Linked DNA regions of Drosophila melanogaster. The protein of the gene in region 1 interacts with the protein of each later gene in a pairwise test. Each region holds a gene or a part of one and is shown on either strand. Other genes may lie near its edges.

Region 1 (5,867 bases):
TGATTGACGGATTGATTGGCAATTCATTAGCATAAATTACCCGCAGAAACCGAACTTAAAGTGAAAGTACCACCAGCGAAAGCTTAATGCCCTTCGAATCTAGTTATGCTTCGGGCTTTAAATAATATTTTCATTTCAAGTAAATTCGTTTACAACATCATTGAAAGCTGTCGAAGAACAGCAGCTCCATGCACCACAACTGAGATGACAGTAAGCTCGCGAATATGAGATGAGCCTCCAGACAAAGAGATACAGATAGCAAATAAAGGATATTTAAAGAATGGCGGCAAGGACATCCTGTTGCACTTGGCCCATTTGATTGATGACGTTGGCACTTGAGTGCACACGATAATCATTTATAAGGCGCATAAATGTTCTGTTCCCCGGGGGGGAAAAAGCTGGAAAATCCGAGGGGGGAAATGGGGGTGGTTGTCAGCTGGCGGATAAAAAGCGCCCAAAGTCGAAGGGAATATCAGATTCAAATTCACTTGGCAGATATGCTGAGGTCGTTGCTATTTTTGGGGTATTTCGGGATTCGAAATTAGGGGGGGTGGTCTTGGTCTTGTCACGTCAGCTGCAGAGTCTGACAGCCACTGCACGAAATTTGCATTCAAATCGAGCCGTGTATCTGGGCAACTTAGTATCTGTATCTGACAGATACCCAGCTGGCACACTTCTTTGTCGAGGTTGAGAAATGGCTACGGCCCAACTTGCCGCTTTCTTTCGAACTTCCTTCAAAGTGCCTGAAACTAATTATCTGCCTGCTCGCAAACGTTTACTCCAACTTTCGTTTAATTGGTCATAGTTATCGCCAAGTTTGTCATTATTAAAGATGCTTCTGATGCATCTGAAACTGGATTTTTTCAGCCAGAACACTGCTTAATAGCTCACATGTCGCTTTGCCTTTGGTCCTGCTCCACGTTATCCCGTCGCCAAAGCAAACAAAATCTTGCTGATGCAGCAGCTGGCAATTACAGCGAATGCTTTTCTAATTAGATGCACCCACATTTTCCAATTCCCCCCGGCCCCGCCCCCCTCTCTCTCCGCTGCTCTACAACATGGGTGGAAAAGCGATGGAAATTGCCTGAGTGCGTAAGCGAAAAACCAGCCATGTGCATGAATCGTAGGCGAGATATATCACTAAACAATGCACTCTCAGCAACGTGCCACTGAGTATAAGTTGGATATTTAGTTAAAAACTATTTAGATGCTTTTGCTGTTATTCAGTGGTTTAAAGCGCACATTTATAAAGTCCTCTGTGCACTTATCGAATTCAAAGTCCTAAAGAAATCAAAGAAATGTCCATAGGTAATCATAGCTTTTTGCCATTGAGACTCGCACGCCCTCAAGTGTAAATCCGCTCTCCAGTCAATTTTCTTCGCTTTTCCGCCGCACATTTTCCCCGCTTGTCCAGACGATTCGATGCTTATCGATGAGCGCAAATCTCGTGCCTCCCATATTTATGTATATATATATGTTTATACATATATATGCATGAGCTTTTAGAAATCATGTAGACATTAGTTGCCCTGCAGTCGTCTGACTGTTTGTTACCCTCGAAATGGAAACTGCACTTTATCGCTTAAATTGCTCAAGTGCAGTTCATTTATGATTTTCGTGCTCATTTCCGCTTGTTGTGGCCGATTTCCGTCGCATAGATATCTCACTCAGCATTTTCCGCTCTGCATTAGAATATGTGAATCTGTGAAACTGTGAATGTCTCTGAATCTCAGTCAGTCGAGGCGATTGTGCAAGTGACCTTGGCCAGGAGGCGGGGGCCACCCATGCGGCCATTTCGTAAACGAGCCACCTCTCATGAATATGAGTCAATTAATATAACTCAATTTGATGTCGGGCCAGAGTGTTTCGACTGCTACCCTATACAAGTATCTATGCATTTTCAAGAACTTTAACAATTGAATGTGGAAAATAGTACATGAGTAGCGAGAAATCAAAATTAAATGAATGAAAAAATTGTATCTGTAATATCTTTGTAGCTTTGTATCATAAAATTTTTTTCTTTTGTATGGAGTAGTGTGTTCAAAGTTCGTCAAACTTATCTGGCCACCAAATGGTTTGTGTATATTCACGTATTCCGTATGATATGTGCTGGGCAGCTTGTGTTTTGCAATGTGAATCACGACGAAATTGCATTTGATTTTGGGAGGCTCGCATTTGCATTCGCATTCGGATTTGTGCAGCGATTTATCCGTTAAGTAACTAAATCAATTAGCCTGCTGTGCCGATTAAAATAACGAGAAGCGTTTCGGTCATAGCCGATAACAAATACGATTCGAATGGCACAATCTAATGATGCTGGGCATTAAGATACAGATGGAAATTCGAATGCACAGTGGTCCAAAAAGGGCCCAACCTCAAACTGCATGTCACAAGCAATGCCAGTCATAAAAGCTCGGCACTTCACACGACTAAAAAAGCTTTGCTCACCCAGTAACCGGTCACCTTGCCTTATGAATATACATATATTTAATATATCCCTGGAGGTCAGTGAGTCACACCGTGTTAGATTCACCCCTTGACATCCCCCGAACGAAAATTAGTATAATGTAACGAAGAAGCATTCACAATGAACAGACCCCCAAAACTACAGTTAGTAAGACAAGTTAATATGGTTTATTCATTTATTGGAAATTACAGCTTTCTTAAACTAATAATCCTATTTTTTATAAATACCCAGCTAAAGCTAATCTCCTTAATATTTATAGTTTCATTAGATACCATTTGAGTAGATAACACAATTTGTACACAATATGTACTACATTTCCTGATCGTTTCGTCCCACTGTGCCATGTGTTGCTCGCTCTCTGTCTCTCTCTCTCTCTCTCTCTCTCTCTCTCTCTTTCGCCCGCTGCTTCTCTCGCTCTCGCAATTGTAGTTTTATTCGCCGAGTGTAACGATGGGAGAATTCTGAGTATTTGTGTTGTTTGTATTACTTCAGTGGCATTCTGTGCGTGCTGGCGAGCGCAATATGAATTAGTCAGCGGCGCTTCGCTACATTTGCTACATTGGCTTTAATCGCTCGTTTCTGAGGCATCTATTCGGCTGGACAATCTGGATTAACTGCATCCAAAACGTATATATCTTGTATTGGCCGCGATGTCGTTGACGGGAACCCAGGACTACGATCGCAAATACCTGCTCAGCATGCCGGGCCTGTGCAAGCTGGCCTGTTTGGTAATTAGCCTTACACATATGTGCCATTGTGTATCGCCCTTAATGTGTGCGCTTGTATGTGTGCGTCTTTCAGCTGTGCAGCTTTGTTGGAATATTGTGCATCATCTGCGGACCGGTGCGCGTGAGCAATTTCCGCGGCAGTTTCTACCTGGCCGTAGTCACCATCGGATTCGTGGCCACCGGCTGCCTGCTCCTGGCCAGGTATCTCCGGTTGTGGCAGCGCCAGTTCTGCCGATGCGATCCCACGCTCTGGTCCCTGGCGGTGCACTCCTCATTGGCCCTGGCCTACTTCACGGCCTCCGGACTCGTACTCTCCCTGGATATTGGAGCCTATACGGCGGCGGCGGTAAGTGGCGTTCTCGCAGTTAGGATAAGTTCGGAAACCAAAAGTATTACGGCTCATTGTTTCGGCTAATGATTAAGCTAGGAAAGATACTGGTAAACGAAACACTGAGCCTCCAGTTGGAGCCGATTCATTCCCTCGCTGTGATGAACTCTCTGTAGATCCGTCTAATACACCCTATTCTTCACCTTTTTTTTTACAGTTCTTTGGCCTGACAGCATTTTGCATCAACGGACTGGAGGCCTATGGAAACTATCGGCGCAGTCGCCAGCGGGAGGTGGCCACCCAAACGATATAGACTTGGTTTCAGGTGCACGAACCCAGCTTTTGGTGGCTCTTACTACGTTAGGCTTACTCTGTGTGTGTATCTGTGTGAGAGCGAGTATCTGTGTGCGAACGAGTATCTGTGTGAGTGCCAGTGCGTGCGCGTGTGTGTGAGTTTGTTTTGAGAGAGCGAGTATCGCTTGCGTTTGCTTGAAGCATTTAAGTCTGAAGTTTGAAATTGTGGCAAGCTTTTGTCGCGGGAACAGTTACCGTATGTGTTATCTAATAGTCGCTAGATATAGGTCAAGAAGTGAAGAAGATAAAGCCAGTCGATCGCAGCAATAACGTAGATATAATAGCGAACAGAAAGCGAGAGAAAACCACTAACAAGAGAGCAAATTCCAAAGAGATAAGTTGTATTGTGCCTTCTGGCTCTGCTTCTTCCCTTCTTCTGATAACTGGTTAACAATGCGTGAATATATATGTACATATATATACCCGATTTTTTTTTTACTTTTATTAAGTACATAGTATTTGTGTGTCTCAAGTGAATATACATTGAAGTAGTTAGTTTTTAGCACAATGCTTTTCATGACCACTGAATTGTTGTATTTATAAACAAATAAATCGTTTGCAATGGAAGAATAAAACAAAAATACATAAATGTAATTTGTAAATGAAGGGTGTTTTTTAATGATGAGAGTTCATATGCGTAAATTGGGCTTGAATGTCAATTGTTGATCGTGCATATTGTTATTGATTCATTTACGCAAAAGGCCACTTTCCCGAGGCTATTGTTTATTTATTTTACTACACGAACTACTTTTGCGACCATGTTTGCTTGCACAACAAGCTATTTTCACCTAACATTGCCGGATAGAATTTTTGCAACCGGCGCTCCATGAAAAAGATATCGCCAACCTTTGTTTACCTTATCCGCATTGAAACTGAAAATAAACAGGTACACTATGGTGCCCCCCTGTCTGATTTTGCTTCTTGTTTCGTTTTCGTTTTGGTTTCGGTGCTCTGTAAGCTGTTGCCATTGTTGGCTTTTCAAATCTTTTGAACCACCCACAAACGCAACAACCATCATCACCCAACAAGCAGCACCCAACGCCCACAAAAAAGCACTTGGCTCGTCTATTGTTTGTGTTGTTTTTGGGGGCTCCCGCCTCATTATTATTACTTTTGTTGCCAGTTTGATGAAGTTTTCGCCTCGATTCTTGTCTATTTCTGGCACGATTTATTCATAGTTAGTTGTTCGCCAAGCATAAGCAAATTTTCAGCCAAGTACGCTTAACAACGTAATGAAGAGCGCAATATATTCATGTGTTTTATGCCGAAAAGCGCTGGCGTAAAAAAAAAAAAGAAAAACAAAATAAATGTATAGAAATGTAGCCGCATTGCAGACATAATATGGGTTTCGCATTGCTTTACACGTGCAGTAGGCAACCCTGTAAAGTGCTGCAAGTTGCCATGACCACTCATGACCTTGTGCACTTATCGCCTATGTGTACAGAGAAAAACCATGTCCTTTAAAGGGTAATTTCCATTTCCATACAAGCTTCATTTAATTGATATATTTATGTGGTCTTGACTCTGCTCGTAAGTAGATAATTTTTTGCGGTGCTTCCTAGCCCTCTTAGCCAAATGATCATTTAATTATTTCTTCGTCGGCAGCTCTTAGCACTTCCCATACCCTAATGTGCCATAATTTCTGCTCCACCATCGACGCTCTCGGCCATGCAAGTCACGTAAAGTGAAATTAATTAGTCTTGTTTGCCAGTTAGTCGGCCTCCTTTCGGGTTGGCAAGACGAGAAAGTGGAAATGCGGAAAAGCCAGGCAAGGGGTCAATCCTTGAGTGATTGAAATGCAATCGTGTGGACCGAGTTCATATTGAGTTTGTGGAAATGTCATGGGTCCGCACTTCCTGCCAGCAAATGATTTATGCGGCCTGCAATTTGAAAGTTGGCTGGCTTAAAATATTTTCTTTTTTCGCTCATAGAATCGTGGTTAGCAGTTCAATTGGAAAATGTGACATGCCAACGCTAACGGTAAGCTGTT
Region 2 (7,140 bases), on another chromosome or scaffold:
AAGTGAGGAGGACACCAAATTGGATCAATAAATTATAAAAAGCCTTTTTTAAATGGCTACAAAGTAATTAACTCTAACCATATCTAAAAGACATTAACTAACAAACAAACATTACAATAAATGTAAAATTTTGTTTTTGCAAATTACAACTTTTTTCATTGTGTACAGTGTAAGACCAATTGCAAGCATAGAAGACCTGGACAAACGACTCCAACTGCAGGAGGCGGTATCAAGGACGACCTTCAGAAGTATTTCGCTAGAATCCTCGAGCTGTTCCTTAAGGAAATTAACTTTTCAGAGTGTGGGGCATCTGTGAATTATGTCGTAGATGGCGGCGACAGTGGAGACTTTCCTTGGGGCGACGGCTGCCACTTTGGATGTCATTAACGCCGCATAATGCAAACAAGCCTGACGACAGACACCTTAGCAAATGCACAGGACAATAAGCGGAGGAGCTAAAAAAATATTTACTCGTGCTTCCCCTCTCCTGAATTTGGCCCCCATTTAATTTATGAGGATGAGGGCGGTGTAGCAACCGAAAATGTTTTTGTCCACATTCTGCGTACTCGTCCGCCTCTTGGCAATTGCTCAGCTTTGCTCCTGGTTGTCTTTTGAGCTTCTTTACACCTCCCGCCGCTCCGCTCACCATTCAGCCAGTTATGAAAATTACTGAAACGTGGCCAAAGACGGGTGCGGGGATCCACAGGACCTGCAGGACGAGGGCACGCACACACAGAGCCGCTTGAGCAGTGGCAACAACATGAGGCACTGGCTTCACACACAGGACAACGTGACAAATAAAATCAAGCTGGCTTTGAGCAGTGGGCCGAGAATCCTGTTTTAGGCTTAAAACTTCAATATTTGTAATAGTTAAAGATTATCTTTACACCTGGTAGAATATTTATCAAGTGCATATAAGTAAGATTTTCGTTGTGTAAAATCGTAGGTAAATTTCATACTTCCCTCTTCTTTTACATTTGGAAAAATCGTAATCAAGTAAGCATTCGGGTGGGAATATATTTAAATCACACACAATATTAAGCTCTCGCCCATGGTGCCTTCTTGTAAAAAACCGCAGGACTATAAAGACTGACCCAATGCGCTACGCTACACAATAAATCGCGAGAGGAAACACTTTTTACAAAAAAAAAGAGATAAAACATACAAACAGTTCTAATTAAAATACTGAAGACAAAAAGAAAATTAATTATTTATTTGAGTTCCTTAATTATATTAACAATGTAATTCAAAAATTGTATTCCTACTACAATACTAAAAAAAAACCAAGTTAAATAACTTCTGATTGAAATTAAAGCATTATTCTAGTTAAAAATCAGCCCTATATTCTTGCTTTCAATTAATATATTTCAAGAGCATAGTTTTAAAGAATTCTCATACTGCCAACGCCAAATAAGTTTTCAAATACAAATGATAGTGGATGTCAAAAACAGCTAACCAATTAAAAACATCTTTAAAACAACATGGATAAATTTTGCGGTCTCCATAAATCTCAGCATTAAATCGCAAAAACGCATTTAAAAAGAAATAAACACTACGCGTTCGTTCTCGTAACAAATCAACTTAGCAGTTTCGAATGCAGCGCCGCCCCATTGGCTGGTATTTGGCTACAAAGTCAGTGGCAGTAGGAAAAGCAATGGGAAAAGCAGCCTGAGCGGCGACTCTGGATCCTGACTCCGAAAATAGAAACGAATCCTGGCCGGTCCTTTCATTCAGTTTCATTCTGCTGGCGCCGCTGGAAGCGTGCGGACGTTCGTTGTTTAGAGCTCGGCCATAAAGTCGTGTGGCAAAGTGGCACTTGACAAAAATAAAAAAAGTTACAAACCTTCAACAACAATAAGAAAAATATTTAATAAAAAAAATATATATTATAGAGGGCACACAACGTGCGGGGGCAAAGTGCAAATGGTAACGGTAATTTGCAGACATTAGTTGCCACACACACACACACACACACACACAAGCAAACGGTGCGGTGATTAAAGGCAATGGAAGGAGAGGTGCGAAAAATGTCACATTACGAATACGCAGTGTGTGCCCGAGTTAAATGGTGAAATTTAAAAGCTGTGCGAGCTGGAATTGAAAATATTTATCGCAAAGTTGTTTGGCCACTTAGTATGCCAGGCACGTAGTGCATTTTTGTGATGTGGATACGGCTCTTTGATTGTTTTATTAGCGATTCCCTTGGACAGGACCTAAAACGTCAGTTTCGGATGAGAGTATTTAAAGTTATGGAGGATTAGAAAGTAGTACATTGAAAATTTGAATTTAACCAAAAACTAAAATTGTTCTAAAGTGAAATTAAAAACGAATAAATATATTAAATAAATTGGAAATTAAGTAAGTGGAGCTTACACATTAATCAAAAATTTAAATGCTATGGCTTCGACTTTTGTCATCAGTAATAACGAAGGAGAAGAAAAACTTGAGCTCCAATAAATAAGATATTAAGAATAAAGCCGCACTTTTGGCGATTCATAAAACAAATATAGATAGAAATTCATAAAGTAAATATCTATATATATATATATATAACCAAGTCAGCCATGAGCCAGATGCAACTGCAATCGCAGCGCGTTCGCCGCGCCCGTCATCATCGCCGCAATCAGTCCGCAGAGCCGTGCGAGTGCCTTCGTCCTGTGATAAGGGTTTTTGGTCTGCTGACTTCATTCGGTAAGCTCAAGTGCGCGGAAATCCGAGCCAGTGGAATAAGACTTGTCGGTGCCGGTGCCCAGGTGACCCCCGTTTCGAGATAATGCCAATCTCGATACGAGGCTATGATGCATGTGCATGTGCATGCATTTATGTATGAATGTGCAATGCTTTTCTGGCCCTTATTTGGAATGTTTACCCTTGACAAATCGTAGGAAATACTTGTGCATGGGAACCATTGCCTCGGGATATGTTGAGTGCTGTGGCTTATTATATTTCTTGGCACTGAATGGGATTCGCAAGACGAAGACGATGCTGAATGGGGACACGCTCTTATTGGCTGCTTTTATTGTTCCTTTCAATTCATATAATATTACTCTTTGAGCAATATTTTCATTGTACACAAAGGTTTTGCATTTGTTTGAGAAGACTGGCAAAATAAATGTACATAAAAGGAAATGGTTTTCCATATTCACAGAGCACATATAGCACAGAATATGTGCTCTAATGAACAGGATATTTGACCTAATGTAATTTGGTAAAATAAATAAATGCCATCCAATACTACTGAAATTCCAGTTTAGCTTAACAATTAAATAGAACACAGAGAGTAAATTGGTAGAAGATTAATTTCCCTTTTTTTGCGTCATTTAATTACAATTCAATTATGCTTTTTTTGTACAACCCAGCTTTGTGTTACATTTTTTCCGTTTAAATTGAGGCAATAATTTTAGATTGACAGCCTGAAATTTAATGGCATTTCGTTTGTCAATTTACGAAGTCAAATTTAATTTATTAAACAGGCAAGGTAAAGTGAAGCAAAAACTTAATAAATAATAATATTACCTTTCTGAAATGAATTCAGTTTGGTTGCACAACGTAACTTTTTCACCCTGTATCCGCATTCTAATCTACGAAAATGCAATCACATTTTTTCATCCCAATTTTTCTGCCATCTGGTGAAGTTATCAAAGTTGGCTTAAACGCTTATCGTGGCCAATCATAACGATTTTCCTCCACCATCTGACATTTTCCTAATGCGCTTAAGATAGTGCACCGCCGTTTTTTTATACAGAATTTGATAAATCGCCCAGCTGCAGGCAGGCCAACAAAAACTTCGGGTCAAGTTCAAACTAATTTCTTTGCAAATTGTTTTGGGGTCCATCATGGGTGCAGTGGCACGCAGGAAAACAAAGTATAAAATCTCTGTAGTTCATAAGCTCCGCATTATAGGGATCGGGTAAGAGGGATGGGGTTTTCCAAGGAAACTCTCTGGCAGAGCCATTAACAAGGCATTGGCCTCTATGCAGCTTGCAGCTTGCAGCTCACGACTGGCATCCTGTGCCAAGAGCAGAGTTTTCCCAGCCCGATTTTCCCCTTATCAGCAACTTTTCCATACGGTCGACAATGAGCTGTGTTGTTAGCCTTTAGGCGCCAGCCATTCGCCAAGTTTTCCTCTTGCCCGGCATCTATTTTTCCCCCACCGCTTTCAATTATCCAGATAATTTTTGCATGTTTTTTCGATTTCCGCTTTTTCAATTTTTATCTCCGTTGACAGCATTTAATGTAATTGGTTTGGTTTCGGTTCTGCAGTTGTGCTTAAATATGGGGCATACATATACATATATCTAACTGGCTAATCTGATTGGTTTTTCGCGACCCGGCATAATAAAAACAACTTAATTAGATTGTATTTTTATGGACCACTGGGCGTGGTGGCTCCATAACCACATCTAACCATATCTTATACACTCAAAGTGGATTTGGCTAAGACAAAATGTGAAGCGGAACCATAATGTGGTTAGAATATGAATGCCCTGCGGAGGGCTGTTCGACAAAAATATAGAAACCTTTTAAGTTATAAAATTTAAGTTCGTCATGAATATTGAAGTTTCTTCCAAGCTATTTATTATTAATTATCATTATGTTATTTCGTAATGTGTAGGACATTGCCTTCTTAAAATACTCTATTGCAAATGATGTAAGCTTCAGTAAAATTGCGATAAACTTCTTGAGCTCACCTCGTTTCCATTCATTGGTTTTGTATTACATTTTATGGCCAAAGCATGGTAAACAAAAAAGGCCCAGCTCAATAAATATGCTTATAAATATATTTGCCTAGACACACTCACATTATTTTATAGGCTCGTTCAAGGATAACACTCCTCGTTTCAACCCGCCAAAAAGGACCCCCCGCACCGAACCTTTCTTTAGCCATTTTTCATTTCAGTTATCTGCGGCGTTGGCGTTGATGTCTACATGCATGGCTATCGGGCCGGTCTTTATATAGTGTAAGTCACGGATCTAAATATCCCCCATAACTATACTAATTTCTGGTTAGTTTTTCAGCCGTGCTGGTAATGTTTATCGAGATCAAGTGGCTTGTGACTATCTTCCTGCAACTTCAGTGCGCAGAGTAAGAAAACTATTCAAGATTACCAAATAACATGTTCATAAATTATAGTTATTCGTATATATATTATTTGATAATTAGCAGTTATTATTTATGAAATATAGAAATTCTAGTTACCAAGCCTAGTAGTTGTAAAACTAATTAAACCCTAATTATACTATAATATGATATACTTTACTATTATATACAATACTCTATATCAAGTGCCTTTGCTCAGATTTTTCTCTGCAAATTTTTCTCTGTTCACATATTTGTGAATTCAATTTGTTTCAGGGATAATTACCAGCGAAGGTCCTGCAGCTGCTTGGCCTGCTGGCGACTTTCAGCGATTTGTGGCGGTTGGCGACCCACTCCTGTTTATGCGGTCATCGGCATCTGCCTGATCCTGTATCCCCACAATCTGTGGCTGAGTTATGTGGCCGGGATGTTCCTGATACTCCTCGGACTCCTCAGACTGTGCACGCTGCTCCGATTCAGCGCCTCGAAGGAGGAGGGTCTCCTGCCGCAGTGCGACTTTGAAAAGTGATGCCAGCCAACGAATGTCTTTGTTATTTGTTTCTAATGTCTGTTTGTTCTGCGATGATAGGGTGTCGAGCTTTGTGGATACCATGGAGGATGATTTCGCGGAGATTGGTGCCACGCAAGCGGGATTGGATGAGGAAGCGGAGGAGGAGGGCGACGACCACACCGCCCTAGACGACGATGTTTGCTAATAGTTTAAGCCAGCTTTTCTGCCTAATGTAATGTGAGATTTTAAACGACTTAACAAATGTCTAATAATATACAGTTTGTAAAGAGGTTTCGATTTAAACGCTGAGTGCGTGGTATATTTTTATAGGTAATCGATAAACCCACACTTTGTATGATTTTTGGTGTCATTTATAAACGAAGCCACTCAAAAGTCAAAAAGGACATTCTTCAAAAGAATTTTGAAAGTTCCTTTTAAGTATTGGGTATCTGCTTTTTACCTACAGAAATAATTATCAAAGCTATTTCGTTTTAAATAATGTTATTTTAATTTCGTCTTTTATTGTTTTTTGTGCTAAACGGATTTCTGCGTTCACTAAAGGCCAAAATGAAGGGCTGGTCGTCGAATTCTTCGGTTTTTCTCAGACCAAAAGAACGCTCATTGCCGTAATCATACTCGTCCTCATCATAGTAGTTATAGTAGTGCCTCTGGTGGCCTTTAGGGCCTCCATGTCCATGTGATGGAGGAGGAGGAGGTGGAGGATACGGATACGGTGGATATGAACCTCCGGGATATCCAGGAGGACCCTGAGGACCAGGTTGGCCAGGGATTCCAGGCATCCCGGGGTGGCCCTTATCTCCACGCGGCCCCTTCTCGCCGGGATCACCCTTGGATCCTTTGGGGCCGGGATAGCCCTTCTGCCCCGGCTGTCCCGGTGGACCAGGTGGACCTGGAGGACCGGGCGGACAACCGCATGGCTGTGGCTGAGGATACGGATACGAATAGCTTGGCGGATAGTGTGGCGGATGATAATGTTGATGATCGTGATCCTCCTCTATGATCACTTCCTGTGGCGGGGCTGGAGCGGGACTTCCAGTTTGGAGGGTGATCAGCCGGGGCACTGAGGCATCATCCTTGGCGAAAACTCCCCCAAGAACAGACAGTAGTGCCACCAGCAGAATAGTCCAGTTCGCAGAGAGAACTTCCAGATTCGACGACATGCTGTGAACTAACGAAAATCAGATCGCAGTCACTTCTTTTATGTGGATAAATGCGTTTGAAAAATGGCAACAGAGGAGAATCATTCAAACTCCCGTTAAGATAGCTCATTTGAGATCTATATGTCTTGTCTTACGATCGCATTATATTTGTATCGTATGCTAATTTCTCTTGTTTAATAAACCAAGCCATTTATTTATAAAGTATCTGATTTGCATAATATTCAATGAATGAGTTGAGTTTTTGGGCTGATGAAAGAACTTTCACACCAAATGGATGTCGGACTTTGTGATCGAGCCATGAAAAGTGAATTCTCGTATTCTAGGATAGATCAATTAACAGGTATATGTATATCATTTCTGCGCGTAAA
Region 3 (4,659 bases), on another chromosome or scaffold:
CTACCCCGCTTCCATTCCGACTAGTTCACAGTTTTACCAATCGAAGGAGGAGCCGCAGGAAACGGAACCCGAACCAGAAATATTCGTCATGGCCGCACGCGATCGAACGGGCGAGTTCGCCAATGCGATTCGTTCCCTGCAGGCTCGAAATATCACCCGGGCAGTGAATATACGCGATCCCCGCAAAGCTAAGCAGGTTCAGAGCTACTCGGAGTTCATGATGGTCGCCAGGTTTATTGGCAAGAACATAGCCAGCACCTACGCAAAACTGGAGAAGCTCACAATGTGTAAGTACATGTTTTAGTAACCCCTTAAAGTCATATTCAAAACTTTAAAATTCCCATCTTCGTTTTAGTGGCCAAAAAGAAGAGCTTATTTGATGACAGACCGCAGGAGATTCAGGAGCTGACCTATATCATCAAAGGCGACCTAAATGCCTTAAATCAACAAATTGCCCGACTGCAGGACATCTCCAAGGATCAGCGGCGTCACACAAACGGCAAGCATTTGGTGTCACATTCCTCTAACATGGTACTGGCCCTGCAATCGAAACTGGCCAGCATGAGCACGGACTTCAAGCAAATCCTGGAGGTGCGCACGGAGAACCTCAAGCAGCAGAAGACGCGACGTGATCAGTTTAGCCAGGGACCAGGTCCGTTGGCCGCGCACACCGTCTCCCCCTCGACAGCCAAGCAGGGATCTTTGCTTCTCAGCGAGGAAAACCAAGCGGTCAGCATAGATATGGGGAGCAGCGATACCACACCACTCCTATCAACCCAGACACAGATGGCCATCTACGATGATTCCGATAATTACGTCCAGCAGCGGGCGGAGACCATGCAAAATATAGAATCTACCATCGTTGAGCTCGGCGGAATATTCCAGCAGCTGGCACATATGGTTAAGGAGCAGGAAGAGATCGTGGAGCGTATTGACACGAATGTGGCGGATGCGGAATTGAATATTGAGGCTGCCCATGGGGAGATCTTGAAATACTTTCAATCCGTCTCCAAAAATCGCTGGCTGATGATCAAAATCTTCGGCGTTCTCATATTCTTCTTCTTGTTCTTCGTTGTTTTTATGTCGTAATCAAACGCCAGTTGCCCATTAAAAGCCCCATGTACCTATCCATGTATACAGCTTTTTATTTTAATCAAGATTCAATCACAATATTGTTTATTCCAAGCTGTGGCCTCCCGAAACGATTGTAAAATAAAGTTATAAATACGTTCTAAAGCAAAATACATTTATTTTAGCATGTGGTTCTTTGGTGAATTTTTCCATTCTAATGGAAGCTCTAAAATTAAATATAATTTCCAAAATATAAAGCCGAATGATAAATATGTTTGCTGATGTAAGAAACTTGTATATTACCTTAGAAAACGTGTAATGCAAGTATCAAATTGGAGAGAGACTATATCTATGTTTGCCCTGCTGATAAGGTTTAAGTGCCCTTTCATAATCTTTATTATCTTAAGTGCTCGTTGCTCCATGTTCGTCGTGTTTAGCCAAAAATTCCGCTGTCCCTCATGCTAAACAGAAAAATGAAAATTGGTTACATTGATTTGACTTTTATTTAATGCTTAAAATCCAACTACACCAAAGATGCGATATGCAAAAAATAATCAAAATAAAAACATGTTACAATCTCTTACTGCAGAAAAGTATTACAAATTGTATGAAAAAAACAAAGCTTCAAGATGTCTTTATGGATTTACACTAGAATTTACAAGTGAAGTATTGTTCGCGGTTGATGGGGACTCTTCCCCAAAAAAGGAAGTCCTCTACCCGAGTTTAGACAACTAATACACGACGCTGATGCGTTGGCGCCAACACTGAGATCCCCAGGCAAGAGCTTGCCTATGTCGAGATGAGCGAATAAACCATGCTAAAATTAGCAATTAGAAACGTTAGACAAATGAGGACCCTGGCCACAATGAATCTCAATTAGACTTACCCGTATATGTAGTAGAAGAAGCTAATCAGATAGACGGCCAGTTTAATCCAACCCTCACGCATGTTCCGGTACAAAGTATCGGTTTTCAGGACCGTGGTGGGATCATAAAGTCCGGGTCCCGACATCACAGGGCGGTTTTTGTAACTGAAAGCGATAGGGGTATTACAAAGCATGAGTGCTTAAGGGTGCTTATGTTGGGCTTGGGTGAATCTTGATCTCCTCGGATCTCAAATCACATTATATCACACGGTCAAATGAGTCACTTACCGCCAAATATGATAGGCTATGAGGGGTATGTTGATGCATAGCGAAAACCATTCGCCGCAGAACAAGAAGAGCAAGTTCAGAAAGATGTGCAGAAGGTATTCGGGCAAAACCAGCTGAAATGCAAACACATACATTACAGGGCGCACTGCGGGTGTAAGCAGTAAGTTTACTGACCGGATTGAGGCTATTGCACTGATCAATTGGGTTCTTATAATCCGTTTTAAGTTCGTCGAATGCAATGACATGAAATATGGCGAAAAATATCAAGAATGCATCCCCGATCAGGGCCACTATGTACGTGAAGGCGGTGAAGTTGAAGGCCATCTTGTAAAATCGCTGGAGCACGTCTTCCAGGTGCTAATCAAAGTGACTTGCTAATTATTATCGTAAAATTCGGCTTTGCAATTGTAGCGCTGGGACTCACTTGTTTTTTTTTTACAAGGGCGGCGATGATGACAGCTGTGCGCCAGGGATGCACTAATCTAAACGATCAGGCAGCACAGATGTACGGTCACATTGCAAATGAGGCTAATAAATAATCAGCTATCCATTATAAATCAAATATAATTTCATTTAAAGAAGCAATTTTAATTTCTAACGAATTATAATGTTTTGTATTAATTTTAATTCTCTGGTAATTTTCTCTACGCACAAAAAATACCACTAACAGTTAGCCGATGCGGTCACACTACATTTCCAAATCGAACCGCCATTTGTGTTGCATCTCGAAATCTGGAAAAAATTCGATCCAAGTGTTCTATGAGCTTCTGTTTTTTAATAATAATAAATAAATAAATTCGATAATCAACTGACACCAGAAAAGAGCGGAACACAATGTCGCAGTTCAATTTTGTGAGCGATTTGCAGAATGCTCTCATCATGGACGGCGAGACGCGCGGACCTGCGCCCAGGTGGAAGAAGAAGCTGGAGGCGTCTCTAAATGGAAGTGTGAATACCACTCGGTCGGTGCTATCCGTCTCGTACAACACCAGTTTCTCGGGTGTCCAGGCGCCCACGAAAACTCCGGGCAAGAGCAGCGAGGGCAAGACCAAGAAGTCCAACACCACGCCCTCTAAGACGCCAGGAGGCGGAGATCGCTTTATTCCGAATCGGGCGGCTACCAACTTTGAGTTAGCACACTTTCTGGTAAGGATTCCACTCATCCCTCCATCCCGCCCTGTAAGGGCATCCTTATTCCAGACCCCTTAAGAATTTATTGACCACCTGACCATCTATTAGGTGAACAAAGACTCCGGCGATAAGTCCGATGAGGAGAACGACAAGGCCACCTCGAGCAACAGCAACGAGAGCAATGTCCAGGCTTCGGCTCACAAGGGCGACCGGCAGAAACTCATCTCTGAAGTGGCCCAGGTCGGTGACTCCAAGGGCGGGCGCATTTTGTGCTACCAAAACAAGGCTCCCGCTGCTCCAGAAACACACAACAATCCCCTGAAGGTCGTGTACTCCATTAAGACACCCATATCCACAAAGAGTGGCTCACGCTATATACCCACCACATCCGAGAGGATTCTGGATGCACCTGATTTTATTAACGATTACTGTAGGTCGAAGAAAACTTTTCTTTTCTTTTTTTCTACTATTGATCTCTTCCAGATTTAAATCTTATGGATTGGAGTGCCGACAATATAGTGGCTGTGGCCTTGGGCAGTTGCGTCTATTTGTGGAACGCACAGACCGGAAATATCGAGCAGCTTACGGAGTTTGAGGAGGGCGACTACGCAGGCTCGCTATCGTGGATCCAGGAGGGGCAGATACTTGCCATCGGCAACAGCACCGGTGCCGTGGAGCTGTGGGACTGCTCCAAAGTGAAGCGTCTGCGAGTGATGGATGGACACAGTGCCCGAGTGGGATCCTTGGCCTGGAACTCATTCCTGGTTTCCTCTGGCAGCCGGGATGGCACCATTGTCCACCACGATGTGCGTGCACGTGAGCACAAGCTTTCCACATTGTCCGGACACACGCAGGAGGTTTGCGGCCTAAAGTGGTCCACGGATTTCAAGTATTTGGCTAGCGGAGGCAACGACAATCTGGTGAATGTTTGGTCGGCGGCCAGCGGTGGCGTGGGAACTGCCACCGATCCCTTGCACAAATTCAACGACCATCAAGCTGCAGTGCGTGCCTTGGCCTGGTGTCCCTGGCAACCAAGTACTCTAGCCTCTGGAGGCGGCACCGCCGATCGCTGCATCAAGTTCTGGAATGTGAACAATGGCACTTTAATGAAATCCGTGGACTCCAAGTCGCAGGTCTGTTCTCTGCTCTTTTCTCGCCACTACAAGGAGCTGATCTCTGCGCATGGTTTTGCTAACAACCAACTGACCATTTGGAAATACCCAACAATGGTGAAGCAAGCCGATTTGACTGGACACACGTCACGAGTTCTCCAGATGGCCATGTCTCCGGACGGCAGCACAGTG

What was found. The genes of interacting proteins can lie anywhere in the genome.
Region 2: the proteins of CG12730 (region 1) and CG14086 interact in a two-hybrid assay, tested with the Drosophila melanogaster proteins (one large-scale study listed by BioGRID).
Region 3: the proteins of CG12730 (region 1) and cni interact in a two-hybrid assay, tested with the Drosophila melanogaster proteins (one large-scale study listed by BioGRID).

The regions. Positions count from the first base shown.
Region 1 is NC_004354.4:5,514,304-5,520,170, forward strand, and holds CG12730 (uncharacterized protein), read left to right. Parts: upstream 1-2,304; 5' UTR 2,305-3,117; coding exon 3,118-3,195; exon of another isoform or gene 3,196-3,197; intron 3,198-3,268; coding exon 3,269-3,541; intron 3,542-3,740; coding exon 3,741-3,836; 3' UTR 3,837-4,468; downstream 4,469-5,867.
Region 2 is NT_037436.4:19,274,029-19,281,168, forward strand, and holds CG14086 (uncharacterized protein), read left to right. Parts: upstream 1-1,762; 5' UTR 1,763-2,564; coding exon 2,565-2,691; intron 2,692-4,900; coding exon 4,901-4,961; intron 4,962-5,011; coding exon 5,012-5,086; intron 5,087-5,356; coding exon 5,357-5,605; intron 5,606-5,669; coding exon 5,670-5,796; 3' UTR 5,797-5,891; downstream 5,892-7,140. Other genes in the region: CG14089 (uncharacterized protein), read right to left, coding at 6,098-6,772.
Region 3 is NT_033779.5:16,308,043-16,312,701, forward strand, and holds cni (cornichon), read right to left. Parts: upstream 2,685-4,659; 5' UTR 2,649-2,684; exon of another isoform or gene 2,599-2,648; 5' UTR 2,549-2,598; coding exon 2,399-2,548; intron 2,338-2,398; coding exon 2,225-2,337; intron 2,102-2,224; coding exon 1,958-2,101; intron 1,889-1,957; coding exon 1,861-1,888; 3' UTR 1,250-1,860; downstream 1-1,249. Other genes in the region: Syx5 (syntaxin 5), read left to right, coding at 1-287, 356-1,089; fzy (fizzy), read left to right, coding at 3,059-3,370, 3,464-3,785, 3,839-4,659. UniProt on the Drosophila melanogaster protein: Acts as a cargo receptor necessary for the transportation of gurken (grk) to a transitional endoplasmic reticulum (tER) site and promotes its incorporation into coat protein complex II (COPII) vesicles.